Xenopus tropicalis: one gene and its partner. The protein of the gene in region 2 purifies or fractionates together with the protein of the main gene of each other region. This does not show direct contact. Links are inferred from orthologs where the notes say so. Each region holds a gene or a part of one and is shown on either strand. Other genes may lie near its edges.

The links.
Region 1: the proteins of irf2bpl (region 2) and vgll4 purify together in Homo sapiens (affinity purification with mass spectrometry; 3 studies listed by BioGRID and IntAct, counting the BioPlex papers as one, with this or other methods). This does not show direct contact. The link is inferred for Xenopus tropicalis from reciprocal best matches to the Homo sapiens genes IRF2BPL and VGLL4.

What each region holds. Positions count from the first base shown.
Region 1 is NC_030680.2:151,253,275-151,257,297, reverse strand, and holds the start of vgll4 (transcription cofactor vestigial-like protein 4), read right to left. Parts: upstream 2,801-4,023; 5' UTR 2,590-2,800; coding exon 2,508-2,589; intron 1-2,507. UniProt on the Homo sapiens protein: May act as a specific coactivator for the mammalian TEFs.
Region 2 is NC_030684.2:82,572,828-82,576,856, forward strand, and holds the start of irf2bpl (interferon regulatory factor 2-binding protein-like), read left to right. Parts: upstream 1-1,229; 5' UTR 1,230-1,434; coding exon 1,435-3,507; 3' UTR 3,508-4,029. UniProt on the Homo sapiens protein: Probable E3 ubiquitin protein ligase involved in the proteasome-mediated ubiquitin-dependent degradation of target proteins. Through the degradation of CTNNB1, functions downstream of FOXF2 to negatively regulate the Wnt signaling pathway.

The sequences.
Region 1 (4,023 bases), on a different chromosome or scaffold from region 2:
GTAGTTGACAAAAGCTGGGGGGTAGCACTTCACACAACAGATCCACATTGAAAGCAGCTGGAAAATTCCACTTGGCAACAGCAGCGACTACTGAGTATTTATAGTACTTATTGCCCGTATTTACTAACACGACTTCCCTTCCAACTGCCCCCAAAACAAGCCAAACGGCACGAGGTAACACCCCAAACTAACAGCACCCTAACAACCACCCCCCAAATAACTGCTCCCTGGCATACAAAGATCCCAACACCCCTAAATATCTGCTCCCTGGCATACAGACACCCCTAAATATCTGCTCCCTGGCATACAGACACCCCTAAATATCTGCTCCCTGGCATACAGACACCCCTAAATATCTGCTCCCTGGCATACAGACACCCCTAAATATCTGCTCCCTGGCATACAGACACCCCCAAATAACTGCTCCCTGGCATACAGACACCCCTAAATATCTGCTCCCTGGCATACAGACACCCCCAAATAACTGCTCCCTGGCATACAGACACCCCCAAATAACTGCTCCCTGGCATACAGACACCCCTAAATAACTGCTCCCTGGCATACAGACACCCCTATATAAATGCTCCCTGGCATACAGACACCCCTAAATAACTGCTCCCTGGCATACAGACACCCCTAAATAACTGCTCCCTGGCATACAGACACCCCTAAATATCTGCTCCCTGGCATACAGACACCCCTAAATAACTGCTCCCTGGCATACAGACACCCCCAAATAACTGCTCCCTGGCATACAGACACCCCTATATAAATGCTCCCTGGCATACAGACACCCCTAAATAACTGCTCCCTGGCATACAGACACCCCTAAATAACTGCTCCCTGGCATACAGACACCCCTAAATAACTGCTCCCTGGCATACAGACACCCCTAAATAACTGCTCCCTGGCATACAGGGCACCCCTAATAAACTGCTCCCTGGCATACAGACACCCCTAAATAACTGCTCCCTGGTATACAGACACCCCTAAATAACTGCTCCCTGGTATACAGACACCCCTAAATAACTGCTCCCTGGCATACAGACACCTCTAAATAACTGCTCCCTGGCATACAGACACCCCTAAATAACTGCTCCCTGGCATACAGACACCCCTATATTAAATGCTCCCTGGCATACAGACACCCCTAAATAACTGCTCCCTGGCATACAGACACCCCTAAATAACTGCTCCCTGGCATACAGACACCCCTAAATATCTGCTCCCTGGCATACAGACACCCCTAAATAACTGCTCCCTGGCATACAGACACCCCCAAATAACTGCTCCCTGGCATACAGACACCCCTATATAAATGCTCCCTGGCATACAGACACCCCTAAATAACTGCTCCCTGGCATACAGACACCCCTAAATAACTGCTCCCTGGCATACAGACACCCCTAAATAACTGCTCCCTGGCATACAGGGCACCCCTAAATAACTGCTCCCTGGCATACAGACACCCCTAAATAACTGCTCCCTGGTATACAGACACCCCTAAATAACTGCTCCCTGGTATACAGACACCCCTAAATAACTGCTCCCTGGCATACAGACACCTCTAAATAACTGCTCCCTGGCATACAGGGCACCCCTAAATAACTGCTCCCTGGCATACAGACACCCCTAAATAACTGCTCCCTGGCATACAGACACCCCTAAATAACTGCTCCCTGGCATACAGGGCACCCCTAAATAACTGCTCCCTGGTATACAGACACCCCTAAATAACTGCTCCCTGGTATACAAAGACCCTGACACCCTAGAATACAGAGCCCCCCCCCAAAAAAAAATCAAAGGCACCCTGGCATTAAGAGACCCCAAAAAAAACAAAGGCACCCTGGAAAAGCAGAAAAAAATAAATGCACCCTGGCATATAGAATCCCCCCAACATATAGGCACACAGAGGGCCCCCCCCATATAGGCACAGAGGGGCCCCCAACATATAGGCACACAGAGCCCCCCCCCCCATATAGGCACAGAGGGGCCCCCAACATATAGGCACACAGAGCCCCCCCCCCCCCATATAGGCACAGAGGGGCCCCCAACATATAGGCACACAGGGGGCCCCCCCATATAGGCACACAGGGGGGCCCCCCATATAGGCACACAGGGGGGCCCCCCATATAGGCACACAGGGGGGCCCCCCATATAGGCACACAGGGGGCCCCCATATAGGCACACAGGGGGCCCCCATATAGGCACACAGGGTGGGGGGGGGGGTGAGGGTTTGTGGGGGGGGGCCTGAGGGTTGGGGGGGGGGGGCCTGAGGGTTTGGGGGGGGGCCTGAGGGTTTGGGGGGGGGGGCCTGAGGGTTTGGGGGGGGGGTTATACGGACAATAATAATAATAACAGAATCTGATCCCAAGGCACAGACTTCCCAGCATGCTCAGCTAGCCGTACAGTGAGGTACAACAGGGAGCCAATCACCTTGCGGCTCCAGCAGCTACACACAAAGTCCGGAGCCCGCTGAGCATGCTGGGGGATGTGGCGCTACTTACCTTCATAGCACAGAATGCCGATGTTATTGTTCATCTTATCCAGGTACTGGTAGTTCAACAGATCCATCTTCATAAAGAGCATTGGGGGGGCTGCAGGGAAAGACCCGCTTCCTTGCGTCACCCACACAGCGAGAGGGAGGCGGCCGAGTCTGCCCCCGAACTCCAGGGCCCCGCTAACCCAAGCCCACGGAGAGTGCCCGGAGCCCCTCGGCGGGTAGGAGGGAAACCAGAGGCGGTACGGAGGGTAAGCGGGGGCGGCTCGGCGTTTGCCTGCGGGCGGTTCCTGAAGAGCGAGTGAAGGGGAAGGACAGAGGGAACAGGCGCCTCACAGCCCCGCTGCAAGTTCCTCGGCACTGACACGCAGGCTGCTCCGGGCTCTCTCCCAGCGGGAACGGGGCGGGACTGCGCAGCCTCACTGGGCTCTCTCCCAAGTGGGGGGAACGGGGCGGGACTGCGCAGCCTCACTGGGCTCTCTCCCAAGTGGGGGGAACGGGGCGGGACTGCGCAGCCTCACTGGGCTCTCTCCCAAGTGGGGGGAACGGGGCGGGACTGCGCAGCCTCACTGGACTCTCTCCCAAGTGGGAGAACGGGGCGGGACTGCGCAGCCTCACTGGGCTCTCTCCCAAGTGGGGGAACGGGGCGGGACTGCGCAGCCTCACTGGGCTCTCTCCCAAGTGGGGGAACGGGGCGGGACTGCGCAGCCTCACTGGGCTCTCTCCCAAGTGGGGGAACGGGGCGGGACTGCGCAGCCTCACTGGGCTCTCTCCCAAGTGGGGGAACGGGGCGGGACTGCGCAGCCTCACTGGGCTCTCTCCCAAGTGGGGGAACGGGGCGGGACTGCGCAAGCTCACTGGGCTCCCTCCCAAATGGGGGAACGGGACGGGACTGCGCAGGCTCACTGGGGCGGCCCTTCTGCACATGCGCAGAGAGAGGGGGCGGGGGGATCCTGCTGCAGGTTGGCCCCGCCCCGTACCAAAACACAGATAAACTGCACCATTGGGGCAATGTAAGTCTGTCAGTGAGGGGTTAATGGGCAGGGGAACCGGCGGTACTGACCCAGGAACTGTAACCCCCGCCCCCAAGCATTGCTCTCTGGGCTGCACGTTTAACTCCTTATAAACCCACCCAATTGCACCCCCGCCCCAACTCCTACACTATATACCCCTCTTATTGCCCCCAGGTATCTCACCGATTAACCCTACACGTGCCGCTGTTCCTCCTCTCTCTCTCTATTAACCCTACATGTGCCGCTGTTCCTCCTCTCTCTCTCTATTAACCCTACATGTGCCGCTGTTCCTCCTCTCTCTCTCTATTAACCCTACATGTGCCGCTGTTCCTCCTCTCTCTCTCTATTAACCCTACATGTGCCGCTGTTCCTCCTCTCTCTCTCTATTAACCCTACATGTGCCGCTGTTCCTCCTCTCTCTCTCTATTAACCCTACATGTGCCGCTGTTCCTCCTCTCTCTCTCTATTAACCCTACATGTGCCGCTGTTCCTCCTCTCTCTCTCTATTAA
Region 2 (4,029 bases):
CCGGAAGTTGCCCAAAGTTTTCGCTTAAGGCAACTTCAGGCGGCTTCCGGAAATTGCAGCGACGCGTATGCCATCCCACCGGCGATTTACATTCTAGCCGGTGGGATAGCATTGCGGGGAGATTAGTTGCCCGCGACAAAGAAGCTGGGCGACTAATCTTCCCGTGTGCCACTGCCCTAAAAGGCAATGTTTAGTTGTGAAATACTCTGGGAAGTAAATTCACTAAATTATTAATTTACCACCAACTACACTGTAATTTGTAATATCGGCCCCAGCTCTAGGTGGTGAAATACCTGCCTAGGTGCAAATCACATTAAGTAGGTGCAGGGGGGGGGGGAATTCCCACAGCAAAAAGCAATTTAAATTGACACATCTGCAATGATGCATTAAAATAACAAAAGGTTCCCTTTATTAATTATTATAAAATTATACTGTTAAAACCATAAGGTAAAAACAGCAGATTACAAGACATCAAAAAAGCAGCATAAAATATTCATCACACAGCAACCAAAAAGACTCTCAAAAGCTTCTGTTTAATTATTTCAGCTTTAAAGGAACAGCCCAAAATAAACGACTGTTTTAAAGTAATTCTTTAGAAACACTTTCATTCTCCGGTGGTCCTGTTCCTTTAAGCTGCCTACTATATTAGCTACTGTTTGGCCCACACGCTTTACAAAATATATATGACTAGACAACGTTATCGCGTCTATAACCCACCTCACCCCTCTCAAACCAAAAACACATACAATACACAGCCTTTATTTATGTGCAGCCACAAAGCAACGATCCTAAAGAATTGTCCATGTAAGCGCTTTTACTAGCACGCGTTCCATTTCAAAGGAGTGTGCCGGCAACTATTAGTCTCACACGTCACCGTTTGCACTGTTTTGTATTTCACTGCGTGTCACCATTTTGTTCAACCTCAGAACAGAATTTTCACACAGCAGCCCGCTGCTAAGCGAGTCACGTGATAGGAACACCACGTGTGCAGAGCGCAGAAGAGCAGAGAGGGCGGGGAAGTTGTGCGGACAGGCCCGGGACTCAACAACATGTTTGTCAGTGGGGGCGGGGGAGTGACGTCAAAGCCAGGTGGCATTCTTGGACTTCGTCATTACGGTGCAGTTTAGAGACGCGCACGCACTCGCGGAATCCCAATCCTGCGTGACAGAGTGTGCGCGTTCGTGTGAGTGCGCGTTCCGGGCGGGCTGCGGCTTGCGGATAGAGCGACAGTCGGAGAGAGCACGCCCGGAGAGGAGAACGGCGGAAAGACAGGCGAAGAGCCCGGAGAAGCGTGCTAACCGGCTTTCTGTGCACCCAGCGTCTCCTAAATAGCATCCGGATCGAGCAGAAAGAGCTATCAATACCCTTCACCGCATGCTCCCCCCACGCTGAGTATTCCTTCCCCTCCCCTGTGTTGAGCCTTCGCTCACCAGCATGTCGGCCGCACAGGTCTCCTCCTCACGCCGCCAGTCGTGTTACCTGTGTGACTTGCCACGGATGCCATGGGCTATGATCTGGGACTTCACTGAGCCAGTTTGTCGCGGCTGTGTCAACTATGAGGGGGCAGATCGAATAGAATTTGTCATTGACACTGCTCGGCAACTGAAACGCAGCCACAGTTTCCAGGATGGTCGTTCACCTGGACCCCAGGGCCCCGGCTCAGGAGCAGCCAACAAACAGCACCCAGCTGTGCAGGCAGCCCTCACAGCAAAAGATACTGCCCAGCTAAACCATTTAGATGGGGCTACTAAGGCAGCAGCTGCCTCTGGGCTGGAGAGATACGGATTGGCCACAGATCGAGGTCGCTTCGAGTACACATTAACTGCTCGGCTTCCCAATGGCCTTAATGGGTTCCCCAAGCCAGGGGAGGATGGCCCCCCAGAGCTGAACAGGCAGAGTCCCAACTCACGCGGCCGAACAGGTCATGGGCTAATCCCACAACTGGTGCCAGGGCAGCTGAGTGTGCCTCCTAATCTTCTACCCCAGACCCTTCTTAATGGACCACCATCAGGCACTCCATCAGGAGCTCCTCATGTTCTGGGAAGGGGTCCTGCAAGTTCCAGTGGCCTAAGTGTTCCACCTACAGCCTCTTCATCTGGTGACCCCAAGCGTCCAGGATCTGTATCTAGTACTGACCAGGAGCGAGAGCTCAAGGAAAAGCAGCGAAACAGTGAGGCTCTTTCTGAACTGACAGAGAGCCTACGTAATAGAGCAGAAGAGTGGGCAGGGAAGCCTAAAGCAGTGAGAGATGCATTGCTCACTCTATCTGCCTGTACACCCTTTGATGTTCGCTTCAAAAAGGACCACAACTTGCTGGGGAGAGTCTTTGCATTTGATGCTGCATCAAAGCCAGGCCTGCTGGATTATGAATTGAAACTGTTTGTTGAATATCCCAGTGGCTTACTTAATGTGTTTAGTTCTGCCTCTGGTGTAGCCAAACAAATGTATCAGGACTGCATGAAGGACTTTGGTCGTGGTCTGTCATCTGGTTTTAAATACCTGGAATATGAGAAAAAGCATGGTTCTGGAGACTGGCGTTTGCTTGGGGACTTGCTTCCAGAATCTGTGCGCTTTTTTAAAGAAATGGTAGGGGCCGATATGTTACCCCAACCCTACCTTGACCCTGGGTGTCCCATGCTGCCCAGCGCACTTGTAAATCTGCCACGGGCACTGGCTGCAGCTGCAGCTGCCTCATCATCAGCTGGTGGCAGTGGGCAGGCCAGAAGTGGTGTAAGGAAACGCAAACCCTCCCCAGAACCAGACTCAGCCGATGGACAAATGTGGATAACTGGGCAGCCTGATGGTATAAAACAACTAAGCATGGCAGCTGCAGGAGGCACACCATCTTCTTCATCTGCAGCCTATGGTGTACCTTCTGTTCCTCCCCCACCGCTAGGCCCTGGCCACCCACAGCGCACAACCCCACCTGAGAGTGCACCTCCAAATGGTCCATCTCCTATGGCAGCACTTCAGTCAGTTACAGACACTCTGGGCACTGCCCACTCCCCCAAGGATGGGCAGACAGGTGGTGTACCACCAGTTCACTCCACCACTTCATCAGCCCGCAGAAATAGCAGCAGCCCAGTTTCACCTGCATCGGTAACAGGACAAAGACGTCTTAACTCCCGCAATGGTGCAGGTTCAGCAGACCTGAGTCTTCAAGTGGCACCTGCTGGGGGTGCCCCTCATCCTGGAATGGACCAAGTGCATCCCCAGAATATTCCTGATTCCCCCATGGCTAACAGTGGCCCTCTGTGCTGCACCATTTGTCATGAGCGTCTAGAGGACACACACTTTGTCCAGTGTCCATCTGTGCCCAGCCACAAATTCTGCTTTCCCTGTTCTCGTGACAGCATTAAAGCCCAAGGGGCAACTGGTGAAGTCTACTGTCCCAGTGGGGAGAAGTGCCCCTTAGTGGGTTCTAATGTACCGTGGGCATTCATGCAAGGGGAAATTGCCACCATCCTGGCAGGGGATGTCAAGGTGAAAAAGGAGAGGGACCCTTAGGAACTCCGGTAAATCATGGTCACCTGTTCTGTGCAAGGGGTCCCCTGCCCCTTTTGTGTATATGTTCAGCTCCCCACCAATAACCTGCAAACCAAAGACAGGTTCTAATGGATGGGGATTTGTGAGAGAAAAGAACCAGAATGTTGCTCTGCAAAATGGAATGTAATGAGGCAAATCTTTCCCTTTATCCCTAACACATTCCCAAAATGCCTCCATGTGGAAACATACTAAAGGAACCTACTGGTTTGCAGATGTAACTTTGAGAGCAGGACACCTACAGTGTGCAGTGAATCGGTTACTGGCATTAGGGAATTGTTTGAAGAGACACCATAAAACTCAATGGTTTTTAATCTTTGGCCTCCAAGGGGTAATGCAGTGACATTTGTAATTATCATGGAAATACAGACATGCCTAAGGAATGAGCACTAGAGCACCCAAGAATACTCCAACCACTTAACCAAATGGCAAGAGGCATGTTGGTGGGTGCAAGTTGCTCTCTCGCACAGCCTTATGCAGAATCGA